Danio rerio: one gene and its partner. Each later gene encodes a partner of the first gene's protein in a complex. Links are inferred from orthologs where the notes say so. Each region holds a gene or a part of one and is shown on either strand. Other genes may lie near its edges.

The links.
Region 2: lsm4 (region 1) and lsm8 share a complex: the UniProt entries of both Homo sapiens proteins name them as parts of the precatalytic spliceosome. The link is inferred for Danio rerio from reciprocal best matches to the Homo sapiens genes LSM4 and LSM8.

The regions. Positions count from the first base shown.
Region 1 is NC_133186.1:6,962,750-6,966,021, reverse strand, and holds part of lsm4 (U6 snRNA-associated Sm-like protein LSm4), read left to right. Parts: intron 1-126; coding exon 127-225; intron 226-386; coding exon 387-588; intron 589-2,443; coding exon 2,444-2,524; exon of another isoform or gene 2,525-3,272. UniProt on the Homo sapiens protein: Plays a role in pre-mRNA splicing as component of the U4/U6-U5 tri-snRNP complex that is involved in spliceosome assembly, and as component of the precatalytic spliceosome (spliceosome B complex).
Region 2 is NC_133179.1:10,099,441-10,104,033, forward strand, and holds lsm8 (LSM8 homolog, U6 small nuclear RNA associated), read left to right. Parts: upstream 1-1,522; 5' UTR 1,523-1,682; coding exon 1,683-1,713; intron 1,714-3,203; coding exon 3,204-3,244; intron 3,245-3,576; coding exon 3,577-3,704; intron 3,705-3,819; coding exon 3,820-3,910; 3' UTR 3,911-4,085; downstream 4,086-4,593. UniProt on the Homo sapiens protein: Plays a role in pre-mRNA splicing as component of the U4/U6-U5 tri-snRNP complex that is involved in spliceosome assembly, and as component of the precatalytic spliceosome (spliceosome B complex).

The DNA of each region.
Region 1 (3,272 bases):
TTATCTCGATTAATGTTTTTTTATAATCGTTAGAAGCCGAAATCGAATTTTCGATTAATTGCACAGCCCTAAAATGAAGTGCTGAACAATAATTGAGCTTTTAAGTTAATCTGCTTTTCTTTTCAGCTGGTTGAGTTAAAGAATGGCGAGACATACAACGGCCATCTGGTCAGCTGCGACAACTGGATGAATATAAACTTGAGAGAAGTTATTTGCACTTCACGGGTAAATACGACTTCATTCAGATGAAAACGTCTTTGGGAGACTATTGATTCCTTACAAAATTAAGCAAAACACTTGTTTGTTTTATTTAAACAAATCTGCAGGTTATTTATTTGTCTTGCTGAAATGTGACGGCTGTTTTTTCTGCTTGCTCTGATTTGCAGGATGGAGATAAGTTTTGGAGGATGCCAGAATGCTACATAAGAGGAAGCACCATTAAATACTTGCGAATCCCTGATGAAATTATAGATATGGTGAAAGAGGAAGTGGTGTCAAAGGGCCGTGGCCGGGGTGGCATGCAGCAGAATAAGCCACAAGGAAAGGGCAGAGGAGGTGGACCTGGAAGAGGTGGCGGACCTGGCAGAGGTCTGATGCTTTTATATTCATACAATAGATCATATCATATAATCATTCCAGACATATATAGCCCTCCTTTTCCCCCAAGTTCTGTTTACTGAGAGATTTTTTTCAGGACATTTCTAAACAATAGTTTTAATAACTCATTTCTAATAACTCATTTCTTTTATCTTTGCCATGATGACAGTAAATATTATTTGATTAGATCTTTTTCAGGATGCTAGTGATCAGCTTAAACTGCCATTTAAAGGCTTGATTAGGTGAACTAGGCAGATTAGGGTAATTAATGGTAATTAATTGCTTAAGGGGGCTAATAATATGATAATAAATAATGAAAATAAAATGGTAAAAAACTGCTTTCATTCTAGCTGAAATAAAACAGACTTTCTCTAGAAAAAAATATTATCAGACATACTGTGAAAATTGATTTGCTTCATTAAATGTCACTTGAGAAATCTTTGAAAAAGGATAAATAATTCACAGGAGGGCTGACAGTTTTACTCTCATTGGTATATTTTTTTAAATGTGTACACGCAGTTTTGGGCTTAAAGGGCCATGAAACCACCTCGTTTCAGCAGGGTTTTCTCACCTCTACTTTGGAAAAAGCCAGAAAAGTGGGCGTGTCCAGCTCTGTTTAGGGGGGAGTGTCGGAGGAACTAAAGTGGGATGGTGTGGGAGTGTCTATTTGGGCACGCGCGAGTTTCAGTCAAAATACACACACATGAGAAAGTGATGGTGTTTAACCTACATGGACATCTGTAGTCGAATTATTTGCCAAATTATTAAATGGGTGACTTTAACTGCAGTTTGGCTCTTTCATTCAGGGAATTCATTCATGCCCCTCGCGACAAACGTGATATTTGATTCGAGGAACTGCTGTAAGCGTGTATTTTTCATGCAACGTTTGATACCGCACGACGAATGAGAGAAAAAAACCCTCCGCATTTCCCAGAAACTTAGATACACACGGCAGGTAGCGTCAGAAAGCCACGTGTGTTATTCCGGTCACAAAATGCGGTGCTATGTTTGCACTCAGTGCAATAGTTAACTTAATTCGATACGAACAAACTGAATAAACAAAGAGCACTGGTCGCTCACTTACCAAATCTGTAGAGACAGGACAATCACCAGCAACTAGAGCCGCGTCATTATGAAGAGAATACTAACGTTACAAGCGAATCCGGATTTCAGCATTTGCAGATGAGAACAGCTCTCAGGTAAACAATAATCCGCCTTAGACACGTAAGTTATTGTTGTCAAGCGTTGCGTACACTAAGGGGAGAGAAAAGGAAAACGAAACTTAATGGCAGCAAACTATAAAAGAAACACTTCACGCTTGTTTTGCCAACACAACGTGGCGTCTCTGTCCTGAAAACACTGTGATAGTAATGAATATTAATGAAGTTGCACAATAGGGCGCGCTGATTGGTTTGAACCAAGCTTTGCTCATGCATTAATGCATCACACTGTAAGACGTAATAAGACACACTCTATCACAGACGCCCAGTCTGCACGCTGGAATACACGCTATTATGTCATGGCCGTGACGCAGCTTCAAAAATTCGTTTCAAACAGGAAGTACGAATTTGCTTGAAATAACGCAAAAACAACCAATTTACATTTTTTAGTGAAATATAGGTGTCCTAATAGTGTTTTTAGCAGTGTGGGACACATATACCACTGTCAACAGCTCAAAAAATGTGTTTTGGTGTTTCGTGACCCTTTAAAGTTTTTTCCACTTGCCCTGACAATTTTAACTCTCCACACACGCACACACACACACGCGCGCACACACACACACACACACACACACACACACACACACACACAGATTAAAAAAAGAAATTCCCATTCTATTTGACAGGTGTTTTTGGTGGCCGTGGCAGAGGCATGCAGGGATCTGGCCGTGGACAGCAACAAGACAAAAAGCCTGGAAAACAACAAGGTGTCATAAACTAACAGTAGATATAAAACAGATCCTCCTTTTATTATGGGCTCCTAAAAATGACAATTCTGTGTTTAATTACTCTCCCTCATTTCCTTAAACATGAGACATTTGTTCATCTTCAGAACCCAAAATCTAAATCCTAAATCTGAGAGCGCCCTCGTCCTCCATAGACAGAAAAGTGGACAATGTTATCGTGCGACGTAATGTTATGTGTATTTATGTAGCACATTTATCGCGAATAGCCATGCAACCAAAGCACTTCACAGTCTTAAAGGGGGTCTTTCCACTCCACCACCAGTGTGCAGCATCTACTTGGATGATGCGACGGCAGCCACAGGACAACGGTGCCAGTGTGCTCACCACACACTAGCTATTGGTGGAGTGGAGTGGAGAGACAGTGATAGAGCCAATTCGGTAGATGGGGATTTTTGGGAGCCTATGATAGGTAAAGGCCAATGGAGGGAAATTGGCTAGGACATCAGGGTTACACCTCTTCTCCTTACAAGAAGTGCCATGGGATTTTTAATCACTACAGAGAGTCAGAGAATGTCTCATCCGAAAGACGGCGCCCACTGACAGTATAGTATTCCCTTCACTATACTGGGGCATTAGGACACACACAGACCACAGGTTAAGCGCCCACTGCTGATCACACTAACACAACTACAACAGTAACCTAGTTTTCCCATGAGGTCTCCCATCCAATTACTGACCAGGCTCAGCTCTGCTTAGTTTCAGTGAGTAA
Region 2 (4,593 bases), on another chromosome or scaffold:
ATGATTAGGTGTGTAAAACAAATCTGTGTAGATGGTATAATTACGTTAAAATCTCATTTATTACACCATCACCATTCAAAATATGATTTACGCTTCTGTAAAAACGTTTCACTTGGTTAAACTTACAAACTCAAGTTCAGCAGCTGCCTTGAAAATGTGAGTCAACTCAACTTGGAGAGATTCTTAAGATGTTGAGTTTTACAATATATTTAACTAAAACTCAACATCTTACATTGAAACAAAGAATCTCTCTAAGTTGTTGCCTCACATTTTCAAGGCAGCTGCTGAACTTGAGTTTGTAAGTTTAACCAATGTGAAACGTTTTACAGTGTGGGCAATTATTGAGGGCCCCCAAATTTCTTGGGGTCCTAAGCGGTTGCTTGCTTCATCTTTCAGATGAGAAGTTAAACCCAGGTCTTGATTCTCTGTGGTCAATAAAAATCCCATGGCACTTCTCGTAAAGAGTAGGGGTGTAACCCTAGTGTCCTGGCCATATTCCCTCCATTGGCCCTTACCCATCATGGCCTGGCCTCCCAATCATCCCCATCCACCGAATTGGCTCTATCACTGTCTCTCCACCAATACCTGGTGTGTGGTGTCCGCACTGGCACTGTGGTCCTGTGGCTGCCGTCGCATCATCAAGTGATGCTGCACACTGGTGGTGGTGTGGAGAGACCCCCCTCATGATTGTGAACCGCTTTTGGTGTAAGATCTATAATATAAATACACATTACATTACATCATTGGTTAGGTCAGTCCCTGATTCTGATGTAATAGCAACGTAATTCCAGAACCACCATACAATTCCATCAAATTTATTAAACATTCAGTACCTTACGAATATTAACAAGTTTTAATTATTTTTTCCATGCTAGTGTGTAGCAAAACACCGTATAACAACTATTTTTAACCACTACAGCACTTTTATATAGTTCAATCAGCATTAATTCCCATAATGGCGATGTACAATTACAATTAGCGTCTGAAATCATCCCACAACCATTGATTGTACTTTTGTGTAAGTGCCGTCGTCATCATTACCACCAGTGTTTCCATCGACCCCCACTTTGACCCTCAAACAGTTAGCCTTTTCAGCAAGAACTGATTATAATCTCTAAAGTTACTCGTTAGAAACAGTATTGTGCTCTCTTCCTTAGAAACCAGAAATCTCCAGAGCGCGTCATCTGCTGGACAAATACCGCATCACTCCCTCACGACGGCTAAACTTCACATTAATTTGTTTAAACTATAAAATTAACTTCATTAGCACTGTCCATTTGTGGTCTATTTTTAACAGTTTTGATTGATGTAAACGTGTGTAATTGTAAGAAATCTATTTAATTATTTATACGCTTATTTTTATGTACGTGTGTTTGTTTTGCTTCTTAATTAATGTTTAATTATTTGTACTCTTACTATATTTATCTTCTATCATCCCTGGCATTAAAATGTGTGTTCTATTGTCGCGTACTAGTTATTTAAAGCTTATTAAATAAATACTAATTCACTCATGACAGCTTTCGTTGCTCCAACTCCATTAGTTCTGCCTGAAGTTGTGCTCAATCGGTCATCGCCTACTCGAGTCTCTCCGTTATCGCTTCCGGCTCAAGAACGAATGCTTTTCGTTGTAGGAGCTAGCGAACGAGCACCGGAGGATTTAAAAACACGCACCAGCAGAAAAGATGTCCACCGCTCTCGAGAGTTACATTCACCGTATCCTTTAATACGCATCGTGAACAGCACGGCGGTGATGTTGTTGATCGATACCCCGTGTTTTGTTGTTGATTGTGTGTGTTTGAGCGTGAAATGTCTAACTTTATATATATGGCGCGCCAGCAAGTGAATTAGCTTTTGATGATCATACGTCGTTATAATTCACGTTATAGCATATTAATGTACGCACATACATTTCTTGAGCAAAATAGATCAGTTCAAGATGATTATCGGTTATCTGGATGTGATATTAACTTCATAGATGCCTGTTTTTTGTCAAATATTTGAGTTTTTTTTTCTGGACCAATGAAAACGAGTCTTCAAATATTTAATTAAGACATATCATATAACTGGAATATTACTATTTACTGTAAATATTACATATTAATGTGTTCACATCTTGCATATCGGGTAGAAATAAGTATATTTGACTGTTTGTATTCATGTTAATCTATATAGATATAATTTATGTATGTAAAACAATCTAGAAAAGTAAAAAAAAAAATTTACATTTTGGATATAAGTATATTTGACCGTTTGCATTCATGTTAATCTATAAATACATATAATCTAATTTATAAATGCAAAACAATCTACAAAGGTTTTAATTTCTGAAATATTTCGTAAAAATAAGTATATTTGATTATTTTTATTTATGTTAATCTATTTATAGATGTAATCCATATATGTAAAACAATGTAGAAAAGTTTTTATTTCTTAAATTTTGCATAAAATTAAGTATATTTGACCATTTGCATTTATGTTAGTCTACATATAGATGCAATCCAACAATCTAAAAAAAGTTTTCATTTGTTCAATTTTAGTTAAAAGTAATTATATATGACCCTTTGTATTTATGTTAATCTATATATAAATATAATCTATGTAAAACAACCTAGAAACGTTTTAATTTCTTAAAATTGCGGTAAAAATAAGTTTATTTGACTGTTTGAATTTGTTAATCTATAGATAAAATACATATATGTAAAACAATCTAGAAAACTTTTCTTAATTTTTGGTTAAAAGTAAGCATATTTGACTGTTTTTATTCATGTTAATCTATAAATAAATATAATTTAGAAATGTAAAACAATCTAGAAACATTTTCATTTCTTAAATATTTCGTAAAAAATAAGTATATTTGATTGTTCGTATTCATGTTAATCTGTATATAAATATAATCTATATATGTAAAACAATCTAGAAAAGTTTTAATTTCTTGACCATGACCATTTGTATTCATGTAGATAGATAGATAGATAGATAGATAGATAGATAGATAGATAGATAGATAGATAGATAGATAGATAGATAGATAGATAGATAGATAGAGAATATGAATCAGTCAATGAATAAAATACTTAATAGAGATTTTGAACACACATTATGTGTACTATATAAACACAAATCCAGAGAACAAATAAACGCAGTGAGTGACCATGCATACATAAAATGAGCTTGAAATTTCCTTGACTGTGATTTTTTTCAAGGGACTGTTGCTATTGTCACTTCGGATGGCAGAATGATCGTGGTGAGTCTTCCTCGTGTACTTTAAAGGGAGTTATCCACCTTTGTGTTTAATAAAGTGCAAGTCAAAGACACTTTGGGAGTGTTTGACTGTATTAGGAAAATCTAAACATTATCACTTGTAACTCACAGCTCCGACACATATTTTTCATTTGTATTTTTGTTTTGTTTAAATGTCTTTTATGTTTAACTGAGGAGAAAAGTCCCCTAGATTGTGAATAGCCTGAGTGTGAATAAATTAATATTAAAATCTGTGTTTTTTGGTGAACTTACCAATTAATCATTGTCTGTGTGCAGAAATGAAGAAGATCGCTTACTGACTTGTGCTGTTTTTAGGGGACGCTAAAAGGCTTTGATCAGGCAATCAACCTCATCCTGGATGAAAGCCACGAGCGGGTCTTCAGCTCTTCACAGGGGGTCGAGCAGGTGGTTCTGGGACTGTATATTGTCAGAGGAGATAATGTGTGAGTATTAAACTCCTTTCTTGTAATTATGTTTATGTTGTGCAGAACAGTGCAAGGTTTATGATTTTTTTCTTTTATTTGGTTGACATAAATGGGAAATTATTTTGTGTTTAAGGGCTGTGATCGGTGAGATTGATGAAGAAACCGATTCTGCGCTGGATCTTGGAAACATAAGAGCAGAACCACTCAATTCTGTGGTGCATTGATGGACAGAAAATTTCATTTTGATCCAGTTGAAAACTTTCCCTAGGAAATCTGCAGGCATCTATAAGCAGCAATATTACCTGCTTTTTTAATCTTGAAAAAGACTGAATGCATATTTGTTTTTTGTTTGTTTTGTTTTTTACGGGTGTTGAAATAATAAAACAAAAAGTGATAAATCAAGATTTTAAATTTTTTAAAAACTTGTATAAAGGGGAAAATATTGGTAAGTATCCATTTTCTGGATAATTCTCAGTCAAAAACAAAAAAAGTAATAAATTAACAGTAAAAGTAAGATTAGGTCCATCTCCAAAATGCCTATTTTATCACCCAAAAGTCAAAAGAAATTTCCGTATTACATGAAGAAATTGAAAAGCATTTAAAGCCCATTTTGTTTTATTGCATTCATGACGATTTAGCTTATTTCCCACAAAGAAAAGCTCATTGCAGTATCGTAAAAATGACGAAAAAAGACATTAATATAAGTGTATATTATTATAAATAATTTGTAACAGTTATTTAAATGTAGTAATTGTATATAATAATGTGCAATATTGTATTATAACATAATCATGTATTTAAAAATAAACACACACACACACACACATATATATATATATATATATATATATATATATATAATAAATAATATAAAAGATTATATAAATTTCTGTTCACATTCAGAGGA